Linked DNA regions of Caenorhabditis elegans. The protein of the gene in region 2 purifies or fractionates together with the protein of the main gene of each other region. This does not show direct contact. Each region holds a gene or a part of one and is shown on either strand. Other genes may lie near its edges. The genes, in order: enol-1, ahcy-1 and pfn-1.

Region 1 (3,752 bases), on a different chromosome or scaffold from region 2:
ATCCACCATTGATGACGTTGAAGGCTGGAACAGGGAGCACAACCTTTCCAGTTCCTGCAAGCTCGGCGATGTACTTGTAGAGTGGGAGTCCCTTGTGTACGGCTCCAGCCTTGGCGACAGCAAGTGAAACTCCGAGAATGGCGTTAGCTCCGAGGTTTCCCTTGTTTTCCGATCCATCCAAAGCCATCATGAAGTCGTCAATGTCCTTCTGTGCAGTGACATCGAATCCCTTGGCGATCAGAGCTGGAGCGATCTTCTCGTTGATGTTCGAGACGGCCTTGAGAACCCCCTTTCCGAGGTGAACAGCCTTGTCACCGTCACGAAGCTCGAGGGCCTCATGAACTCCAGTAGAAGCTCCAGATGGAACTGCGGCACGGAAGACTCCTGGAAACAAGAAATGATGTGATTTCGGAATTGCGTCATAATGTTGAAATATACTTCATGAAATTTCAGATTTGAATAAAACAAGATTAATCTTATTTTATTCAAATCTAGATTGGTTTTTCAAGTTTTGATAGAATTTATACAATGCTCGCTTACCTTTCTCAGTGAAAAGATCAACCTCAACAGTTGGGTTTCCGCGGGAGTCGTAGATTTGGCGAGCGTGGATCTTGGTGATTGGCATCCTGCAAAATGAACTATATGTTTTCAATAATCAAACAAGTATATAAAACTACGTGAGAAACGGGCACTAGTAAACAAAACAACTGAAAAGATAAAATGTTTGAGGCGAGAAGGGGTAAAGGAGTGCGAGAAGAAAAAGGCGGCGCCGTCAATAGACGGCGCAGAAAGTGGAAAGAGTGACGAAGGTCGCACGGAGGACACGAGACTCAGAGAAAATGCAGCTGGTTAGATGTGTTTGTGAGCGGCCCGAGAGCGCACGTTCAATAGAATCGCACGGACAGCCTCTTTTTCGTGGCAGTGAATAAAATTCGTTTGTAGATCTCAAAGAGACGCAGTTAAGATTCGAACTGAAGTTACAAAAAAAAGGCATTGCAGATTCACTAAGTTCTTGAACACTTCTAGATATTGAGAATTATGATTAAATTCGTCATGCCGAGAAGAAAAGAGGAGCCAATGCCTTGGGCTCGAAAACAAGTGAGGGGCCAAGGACGCCAGCAACTGCCGCTGGGGAGAAGCGACGACTTGAGCGGCTGCCTTTCGCCTAAATACGTGACTTACACGAAGTTTCAGATTGGCAAAGCATGCACTTCAGATTGGATTTGAGAAGCGAGTTACCAAATGTTTTTTATGTTCAGTGGTCAGTTTTAGAAGTGAGAAGAAGTGATAAGGTCTGATATGAGAAGAAATTGTTGATTCGGAAAATTTGCAAAACATTTCGGAAAAAACTTATTTTTGAAGAGAAACACAACTATTTTCTTTCTAACTAAAACACCTCAAAGCTTGCGTGTTGAATTTAAAGAAAAACGTTAGTTTGCACACACTATTGTTCAAAACCATTGAACAAGTCAAAATGAAACATAAAAGAAAAGTAAACATCAGTCAACGTTTTGGAAAAAAGGCACGGCAGACCCCATTACCCTGATTCAGCAGCCAAAATTTTGCAGATTGCGTGTGGAAGTCGCGGGAGCATGAAATCAACTGGCGGAAAATAAAGAAAAAGAGATAACCAAAACCTTTGTCCAGACAGATTGCTTTTCGAAGGCTGCCCGCCACCTCGAATGAGCGAAGTGAGCGAGTGAGCTGCCGAGGTGAATGGAACAAACATTTTAAATCAAAAACTGAAATAACTTGCGTAGAGCAAAACTTTAGAGGAAGATCAAAACGTGAAGAGGTCAAAAATATTTTTTTCAACGTCAATTTTATTTACAACAATAAAAATCGATAGATCAAACAAAAAGAAAATAGGTCTAAAAATACTAAATATGAAACTCTAATACAAAAATGAACCAAATTATTTTTTATTGTCGAATCCTAGTGAATTGCTTTGTTTTTAGGTTGTATCGTTTATCAGTGTATTTGTCCATTTGATTAGCAACTTCTGGATCCCATGGCATATTCTTGTCAGGACGAGTGTAATCAAATGTCTGAAAAATGCCGATTTTAAGTCAGCACTGAAACTTTAAAAATTACCTGATCATCATAATCGAACCATTCTTTTTTCGGTTGGAACTGTCGAAGTAGACGTTTCTGTCTCAGAGAGAGAACTTCACCACCTGATCCTGGGAATGCAGTGATTCCACCATGATACATGTGAGTGTCTTCAGGATGGAAACGTGCAGCATGCTCCATAATCGAGACGTTTTTCGGTTTGTTCTCATCGCGAGCCATTCTATAATTTATTTTAATTAATAATTCAATAAGCATCTTTAAACAAAAACTAACTCTGTATATTTTGTTACATTTTTGACAGGCGTCTGATAAAATTCGACGACGTCTGCCACTGTTTCCAAATGAAGAAGTTTTCCATTGGTTGGCCAATGTTCGATGGATTTTCCCAGCCTGTTCAACAACTCGAACTTTACAGAGTTATCTCCTTCCACAAATTTGTACTGATCCACGTTTTCAGACTTTACTCCAGCACTTCTTAGACATGATGACGCTGCTTCAAGTACTTGGTTTTTGACATCAACGCCGGGAACATAGTTTTGCGTGTATTTGAGAAAACCTCTGGCCCGGATGGCATCCGTGTCGATACGGCTCATCGTCAACAGATCATCGTCAAATTCAGTGACAGAATCAGCTGAAGCAGTAACTTGTGTGGATTCTCTAGCACGGATGCTGGGAAGCGTCTTGCGAAGGCTCTCCTGTTCTTCCAGTGTCAGCTGCTTTACTGCTTCCTTTTCCCCGGATTTTCCAAACATTCCTTTCAACAAGTTACCTTGCGATCGGACAAGCCTCGGAAAACTCCTGTGCATCTTTTGGCAGTTCTAAATTTTTTCTTTTAAGCTTTTTCTTTTCTCTTTAATCAGAAATATAAAAAATCAGATAAAAACTGGAATAAAATACATTTCAAATATTGTACCTTTTGTAAATCGCACTCCATTCATTTTAAAAGGAAAACAAATCAACAAGCAAAAACACGCGGTATTCTCGAATATTAAATTGAAAACGGGGGCATATAAAAACGGTAGGCAGAAGCAACAGAAAGTGTATCAAATTCCATCAAAAATAAGAATGAAGGGGACGAAAAAAAACGAGATACGATTGTGTTGAAGCACTCGATTAAAAGCTGAAAAAGGGAGAATAAAGTTGAAGATCTTTTAACAGTCTGGCGAACAATTTGATTAGCATGGTCGGTTATCTTGAGCACGGGCACGTGGAGCTGCCTTGATGATATCGTCGACGCGAAGAATTTGTTCCGTGGCTTCAGCGGCGGAAGAAACCATGCACAACTTCACATTGTAAGACTCAATAACGCCCAATTTCGTAACATCAGCAACCTCTCCTTTCTCGATGTCTGAAAGATAATTTTGTATAATGGTTAGATTTCCAAATGAACAAACCGATTCCCATATTGTGACGTCCATTGGCGTGCTCTGCACGGAGTCTTGTGACAAGTTCAGCCGAGTCAAGTCCAGCATTGTCGCAAATGATGGTTGGCAATTGAGCAAGGGCTCTTCCGAAGGCTTCAACGGCAAGGGCTTCCTTACCCGCAACCTTTTGAGCTTCGACGGCGATGGCTGAACTCATCAAAATTTCGCTCGCTCCAGCTCCGGCAACAGTCTTTGATTCTTTCACGTGAGTAACGAGAACACAAAGGGCATCATGGAGGGATCTTTCGGACTCAT
Region 2 (3,752 bases):
GTAGCTGATCAGCTGTCTGGAATTCCAGATGAGGTATACGGTCGAAGTGGGTCTAGAAAAATTCGCCTTGCCAAAATTTCCGATACTAAATTACAAAAATCATTTTCCGGGAAATAGATATCTCAGAGAAACTGCACCGGATTCTCAGCATTCGAGGATTTTGGAAAAACCAAAAGAAATTTTATTTGGAAAATTAAATGAAGTCTATTCTAGGAGATTAAAACATTAAAAAGTTTATAGAATTCTATTAGACATTAAAACCACCTGAACTTTGCAAAATTGATAAGCGAAACCTAATTGTCTACGAAATTGGCGGCGGAGGGCATTTCGAAAAAAGAACTACGATAAGAAGTGACCTTGGATGATAGAAAGTAAGAGATACATAGATCTCTAATAGATTCTTCTAGAATTTAACGAGATTTGCAAAGAAAATTTTAGTTTTAATTGTAATGAGCAAAATTATATTTCAGAACACAGTTATATTTCAGAACATATCACTTAGAAATTTTGAAACTGTCCCGGTCGACGTCTTGCATGAAAAATTACATTATCCAAATTGAGGCGCCACATTGTAAAAAATGTGTCAAAAATAGAAAATTAATTTTTGAATTTCCCTCGCTTTCCTCTTTCTCTGCTTTCTCTCAAGCTCTTATCATTCCTGCACATCTAACATAGAAAAGTACACAGAAGCGGAGAATGAGAGACGCAGCACATCCACGACGAAAAGTGGGCGGAGACTGATGTGGCACAGGCATTTGGGTGCTATAAAAGGCCGCCGTTGGGCCAGAAATAACGCCGTAGGAATACGGGCTAGCAAAAAAAAAAGAAAGTGATTTTTCCCTTTCAGACTGAAAAGGTACTGAATCATTCTAGAACAAGAGGAAAGTGGGGGAAATCTATCATCGACGAATCCTAAAATTTAATCTGAAACGTGATATCCTTTTCTAGGTCGTACAGAATCTTCAAAGAAATCTGCGGTGGTGTGGAATTCAGGAAGGTCACTTTACCAAAGCTATCGGCCAAAGTAATCTTACATTTTACAAGGCTATCAAGATTTTATCGCCAATTCTCCATAAATAACGCTGTCTTGACGGTTGACGAGCATCGCAGGATGCATATCTCACCTCATGTGTCAATACGTTTTTTTCTTAAATTTTCTTTAGTAATTTTCAAATAAAAATCATCGTTTCGCGGCGAGTAAGTCCAAATTTTAGGCCTTCGTGGCGGGACCCACTGAGAAAAATCACTGCGCCTTTGATCGAAACAGTAGAAATTTCGAAAAAGCTTTCTTTTTGGGAAAAGTTTTTGCAAAGTTCCTCGCTTTGTTTTATGTTTAAAAGACCGACTAGTTGTAAATTTCTTCGTCATGGTTCCAGATTTAATAGATTTTCCCACATATTAAACTCTAAAACCTAAAAAAGTTCTCGTCCACTAACTATCTTCCGTATTTTCGGGTTTACTTATTTACACATGGATTATTGTTTTTTTCCATTTAAAAATTGATGTTTTGGCAATCCACGTAAGCCAAGGTTGTTTTTGTTTATTTTCGATTCTCTGATAAACAAAAACAACTTATAAATTGGAAAATAACCTTCTCACAATCAGTTTTTTTTTCTTCACAAACTCTTGTTTTATCCTTTTCACAGCCGAACTTTCAAAAAAGTGTCTCATTTTTTTTCTTTATTTCCGTCTTATGGACTTCTTCGCTTCTCTTCCCTATCCGTCCTGCAGATTAAAATAAATTTCTAATTATTTCAGGTAAAACACATTCGCAATGGCCCAGTCTAAGCCAGCTTACAAGGTCGCTGATATCAAGCTCGCCGATTTCGGACGCAAGGAGATCATCCTTGCTGAGAATGAGATGCCAGGACTTATGGCTATGCGCTCCAAGTACGGACCATCCCAGCCATTGAAGGGAGCTAGAATCGCCGGATGTCTCCACATGACCATCCAAACCGCTGTTCTCATTGAGACTCTTACTGCTCTCGGAGCTGAGGTAAATCTTGTTTTTTGAAAGAATTAGTATTAAAATAAGTTGGTTTGAAAAATCGAAACTTTTTCCAGGTCCAATGGTCTTCCTGCAACATCTTCTCCACCCAAGATCACGCTGCTGCCGCCATTGCCCAGACCGGAGTCCCAGTCTACGCCTGGAAGGGAGAGACCGACGAGGAATACGAATGGTGCATTGAGCAAACTATCGTCTTCAAGGATGGACAACCACTCAACATGATCCTTGATGATGGAGGTGATCTTACCAACTTGGTTCACGCCAAGTACCCACAATACCTCGCTGGAATCCGCGGACTTTCCGAGGAGACCACCACTGGAGTCCACAACTTGGCTAAGATGCTCGCCAAGGGAGACCTTAAGGTTCCAGCTATCAACGTCAACGACTCTGTCACCAAGTCCAAGTTCGACAACTTGTACGGAATCCGCGAGTCTCTCCCAGACGGAATCAAGCGCGCCACTGATGTTATGCTCGCCGGAAAGGTAGCCGTTGTCGCTGGATACGGAGATGTCGGAAAGGGATCTGCTGCTTCCCTCAAGGCTTTCGGTTCCCGTGTCATTGTCACCGAGATCGATCCAATCAATGCTCTTCAAGCCGCTATGGAAGGATACGAAGTGACCACCCTCGAGGAGGCTGCACCAAAGGCTAACATCATTGTCACCACCACTGGATGCAAGGACATCGTTACCGGAAAGCACTTCGAGCTTCTTCCAAATGACGCTATCGTCTGCAACGTTGGTCACTTCGATTGCGAGATTGACGTCAAATGGCTCAACACCAATGCCACCAAGAAGGACACCATCAAGCCACAGGTAAGAAAATGTTCAGAATTAGGATGAATTCACAATCATCGATAGAAGTTTGAACCAACTTTTTTCAGGTTGACCGTTACACCCTCAAGAACGGACGTCACGTCATCCTCCTTGCCGAAGGACGTCTTGTCAACCTTGGATGTGCCACCGGACATCCATCTTTCGTCATGTCCAACTCCTTCACCAACCAAGTTCTCGCTCAAGTTGAGCTCTGGACCAAGTTCGGAACTCCACAAGAATACAAGCTCGGACTCTACGTTCTTCCAAAAACCCTTGACGAGGAGGTCGCTTATCTTCACTTGGCTCAATTGGGAGTTAAGCTTACTAAGCTTTCCGACGAGCAAGCTTCATACCTTGGAGTTCCAGTTGCCGGACCATACAAGCCAGACCACTACAGATATTAATTTTGTTGGTTCTACCCCATACGGATATTTTTTTAACTGTTTTAAATTGTATTGCCCTCAAACTTCATATGATCTTGAACTGGTTGTATTGTTCCCCATCTACCCGCTTTTCCCCCAAATACATAATCGCCTGATTTAGTCGTTTTTCTTCAACTCGTTGATTTGGTTCTGTTGTTTGTCTTTTGGACATAAATGTTTTATGGAGTAACTTTGACGATTGTTTGAGAAATTATTCTGAAAACGTTTGATTAGGCGTGAGTTTATCGAATTTTCAGATCTACGCCCGGGAAATTTCAAGCAGGGAAAAACAAATTTTAAATTTGTCGGGGTGAAGGGCGCTCTATTGATAAATAAGTTCTTTATTTCTCTCAACGCTTCACTCATTTCGTGTTTCACTTTTTATATTTACAGAAATTCCCATGATGTTCAATTTTTATCAGTTTCTCTATAACCTGCAAAATGTTTCCCCATTTATTGATTTTTCAGTACTAAAACAACTTACCCACACGAAAATGAGGGAAAATGAGC
Region 3 (3,752 bases), 6.1 Mb from region 2:
TGATTCTGACCAAAAAACCGCGCCGCACAATTGCAGTGTGGGCGTGGTTTCGAAAAAAACACGCGATAATTGCTCCGAGCACAAAACTCTTCTCTCACTCTCTTTCTCCGTCGATGGGAGATGAAAATGAAATAATCGAGAAGGCATTGAATTGGCAATGAATTTACTAGAAAACAAAACGGGGGAATACAATACATTATGATAAAGCTGAAAGTGAAATAAAAACTGTTTCTGTGTTTGCTCTGGGAATGGGAGTTTTGAGGGAAAGATTACGCGGAAGAAAACCGAATTTCATCGTTGTACTCGTAGAAATCAAGGTTTGGGAGAAGGGAGAAGGGGGAAGTTTGCAAAAAAAAAATAGAGAAAAGCGGGAATAAATACGAATCGAACAACAATCGATAGAGAGAGAAGTATTTAGTATCCAGCATTGTTGAGATAGGTTTGCATACTCTCGACAGCCTTGCGAACTTGTGCAGCAACTTCATTTGGTCCCTCGTAGACAGCAATCAAGACTGCAGACTTGGTCTTCACAGCGAAGAATCCAGTGTTCTCCTTTTTTCCGAAGATGAGCGATTCTTCGGTACGTGGAACGACGTAATGAACTCCTTCGATATCGGCTCCTTTTGCTGGAACTTGAGTGACGTCATTGAATAGGGCAACGAAGGTTTTGAGCTCTTCTTCGGATGCCTGGAAATTGGAAAAAATTAGAGAAGTTTTTGGACAGGAAATATTTCTTGTTAAAAAATTTGCGCTTTGAAATTTCCAAAAATTCGAAATTTTAAATCCAGTAACCCTAAAGTTAGCCTTTTTCCCCAATTTTCGCATTTTTAGGCCTCAAAACACTGAAATTTCCAAAAAAATCGGCTTATTCTTGGCCGAGATACTGGAAAATCACAAATTTCAGTCTGTGAATTTACATTTTGCAGGAAAAAATCTTCGAATTTTAATTTTTTTTTTAACGCTTTTTAACTCTAAATTTTCATGAAATTGAAAAATCTGAAAAAAAAAAGTTTAGAAAATTCCAGAGTAGGCAGGCTTCAGGCGGCTGAAATACAAGTAGGCTCTAATGTAGGTATCAGGCAGGCCACCTCGAAGGTAGTCAGGCAGGTAACTTGCCTGACCTTCAAGGTAGCCTAAGCCTGTCTGCTGCCTACTTGGGTTTCGAAGAAGTATAAACTATATGAGAAACAGGGGCTGGTAGGCAGGCACGGCCGCCTGAAGCCTGCCTAATCTGGAATTTTTTAATTTTGTTCGAAAAATAATGAAAATTTTGCAATTTTTGAGTGGATTTGCTAATTATTCCTGTAAAATGTAAATTCAGCGGCTAAAAATTTCGATTTTCAATTCAAAAAGTGAATAATTTCGCGAGATTTTCAGTTTTTTGGGTCAAAATGCGAAAATTCCAACAAAAATCGACCCCGCTAGCTCTTTTCAATCTCAAAAATGGGTCAATTTAAGGATTTTTCAATCGTTTCCAGTTTTAATCGATTTTTTCTCGAGCTTCTTCGATGATTTTCGTCCATTTCCATACCTTGAACACATTGTCAGCCTCAGTACGAGCCCAGACAGATCCATCAGCGGCTCCGACGATTGCACACCGTTTGATTGATGGAGCAGCGGCAGTCATTGTGTCGATGTAGGCATTCCATCCGGACATTTTTGTGTTTTGGAGGAGGTTGAAGCGGAGATTATACTGAAAAAATAAACATAAATTATGATTGAGATGGTTGGAGGGGTAATGAGAAATGATAATATGAAGAAAGAGCACAAATTAGGAGAAAAAGAGCATAAAATCGCTTGAAAATTACGGTTTTTGTAAACAATCGATTATTTTTTGATTTACTGCGCAAAAAATGGAATTTTAATGCCGAAATACCCAAAAATTGATATTTCCGCAGATTTTTTGCTTATCTGTGGTGTAAGTTGGTGGCGAAGAACTTGCGAATGGATAAAATGACAAAAACCAACAAAATCTCACTAAATTCACAATTTTCTCGCCAATGTAGTGCAAAAATTGAGCTTCTTTCATGAATTTCTTGGAAATTTTCTGTGAATTGAGCCGATTTAAACCAAAATTGGCATTTTACCTAGAGTTGACCAATTTTCGATGATTTTCAGACCATTTTCAGGCCAAAAAGGCGGAATTGAAGCTCGAAAACACCGAAAACTACCAAAAACTACGAAAATAGTAAATATTTCGAGTTTCAGATGTAGAAAACTTGGAAAAATTCAGCTTTTGGAAGATCTCGCCTCGAGAAATTAGGACCAACTTAAGGGAGAATTCTTTTTAAAAAAGCAACGTTTTGAGGCGAATTTTCAACTACTAGAGGATTTGAACTATCTAGAGCAATCTGAGAATTTAATTTCACAAGAAAAATGGCATAAAATCGCCAGATGACCCAAAATTGAGAGAAATTAAAGAAAACTTCCAATTTCAAATTCCGAAAGATGAAAATTGCTACGAAAACTAGAGGACATCTTTGACCACCCGGAACACTCCATCTAATTGGCTGGGCAAATGGAGAAGCAGTGAATGACAGTGAGGAAAAGCAATAGAGAGAAGAAGAGAAAGAGAATGTTTGCATGCCATCTGGTGCTCTCCTTCTTCCCCTTTTCAACCCGAACAACGAGCTTGTGCTCCTGCTCCTGCCTGCTTGCTCCGCTGGTCAGTTATTCACCCATAAAGGACGAAAAGAGAGACAGAGACCGCCCATCAAATTGAATGTGTGTGTACTACTAAAAGAGGGTGAAATAACCCGCCTCAATCCATACTAATGTCAAATGCAGTTGCAATTTATATTGAACACACAGACCCAGAGACACAACCAAAGCCAATGATGAATCATTTTGAAGAGAACACAGCGAAGACGACGGAGGAGAAAGAGAACCAAAAGGCGATAGAAGACGAGTTGCGAAACAATTCAATTTGAACAAAGCTTTCTAGCTTTGAAAATTGCGAAATTGAGCGCTGAAAATGGATCTTAATGCCGAGAATGACCAGTGGATTGCGAAATTGGAATGGTGAGTCACATGGAACAGCAGGTCGCCAAAAATCGTCGAGGAAGCTTCAAGTTGTTATAATATTCGCAGTTTTTTCTGCCAAGGAGATCTGAAAGTCATTTAGAAGAAAAAAAATACATCAAAATGCTCAAAAATCATAAAAATATTCGAAATTTTGATGATCGAAGCCCCAAAAAAGTCACGAAATAGTCAAAAGAGCCGCGAAAAACAGAAATTTCGTAGCATTGGCCGGATTTTTCTATAAATATTGCAGAAAACCCGAAGATTTTGTCAGTAAATCGAACGAATAAACTCCAGAAAGCGGAAAATGGGGAAAATGGGGAAAATTTTACATTTTTCTACAAAACACTCACTGTGAGCTGAAATTTCATCAAAAAAAATAGGAAAATTGAGAGTTTTCTAGTCGAAATCTTACGCTATGTGATAATTTTTATAGCTTTTTTATTTTTCTCGATTCACGACGTTATCGGATGCCGAAAATTGATAAAAAACTCTTTCTGAATCACCTATTTCCGCTCCTTCCTTACAGTTTTAAAGCAAGAATGGAACGAACTGAACTTTCCGGAAGAAAATAGGGTGGAAATCAGGAAAATTAGCGAATATTTGCTAGAGAATGAGGAAAATATATTCTGGCAATAACCGAGACAAAACGCGGAAAAAACTGCTGGAAATATCAATTTTGGGAGAAAACGCGAGAATTTTGTGAAAAACCTGCGGAAAATCGGTAAAAA

The links.
Region 1: the proteins of ahcy-1 (region 2) and enol-1 fractionate together in Caenorhabditis elegans (co-fractionation; one large-scale study listed by BioGRID). This does not show direct contact.
Region 3: the proteins of ahcy-1 (region 2) and pfn-1 fractionate together in Caenorhabditis elegans (co-fractionation; one large-scale study listed by BioGRID). This does not show direct contact.

Annotation. Positions count from the first base shown.
Region 1 is NC_003280.10:8,928,980-8,932,731, reverse strand, and holds the start of enol-1 (Enolase), read right to left. Parts: upstream 1,730-3,752; coding exon 1,638-1,729; intron 627-1,637; coding exon 541-626; intron 385-540; coding exon 1-384. Other genes in the region: mrpl-50 (Large ribosomal subunit protein mL50), read right to left, coding at 1,923-2,048, 2,095-2,293, 2,347-2,879; cct-2 (T-complex protein 1 subunit beta), read right to left, coding at 3,249-3,421, 3,468-3,752.
Region 2 is NC_003279.8:6,834,711-6,838,462, forward strand, and holds ahcy-1 (Adenosylhomocysteinase), read left to right. Parts: upstream 1-1,758; 5' UTR 1,759-1,774; coding exon 1,775-1,996; intron 1,997-2,064; coding exon 2,065-2,820; intron 2,821-2,888; coding exon 2,889-3,224; 3' UTR 3,225-3,430; downstream 3,431-3,752. Other genes in the region: dpf-3 (Dipeptidyl Peptidase Four (IV) family), read left to right, coding at 3,644-3,752. UniProt on the Caenorhabditis elegans protein: Adenosylhomocysteine is a competitive inhibitor of S-adenosyl-L-methionine-dependent methyl transferase reactions; therefore adenosylhomocysteinase may play a key role in the control of methylations via regulation of the intracellular concentration of adenosylhomocysteine.
Region 3 is NC_003279.8:12,919,945-12,923,696, reverse strand, and holds pfn-1 (Profilin-1), read right to left. Parts: upstream 1,694-3,752; 5' UTR 1,658-1,693; coding exon 1,532-1,657; intron 688-1,531; coding exon 415-687; 3' UTR 149-414; downstream 1-148. UniProt on the Caenorhabditis elegans protein: Binds to actin and affects the structure of the cytoskeleton. At high concentrations, profilin prevents the polymerization of actin, whereas it enhances it at low concentrations. By binding to PIP2, it inhibits the formation of IP3 and DG.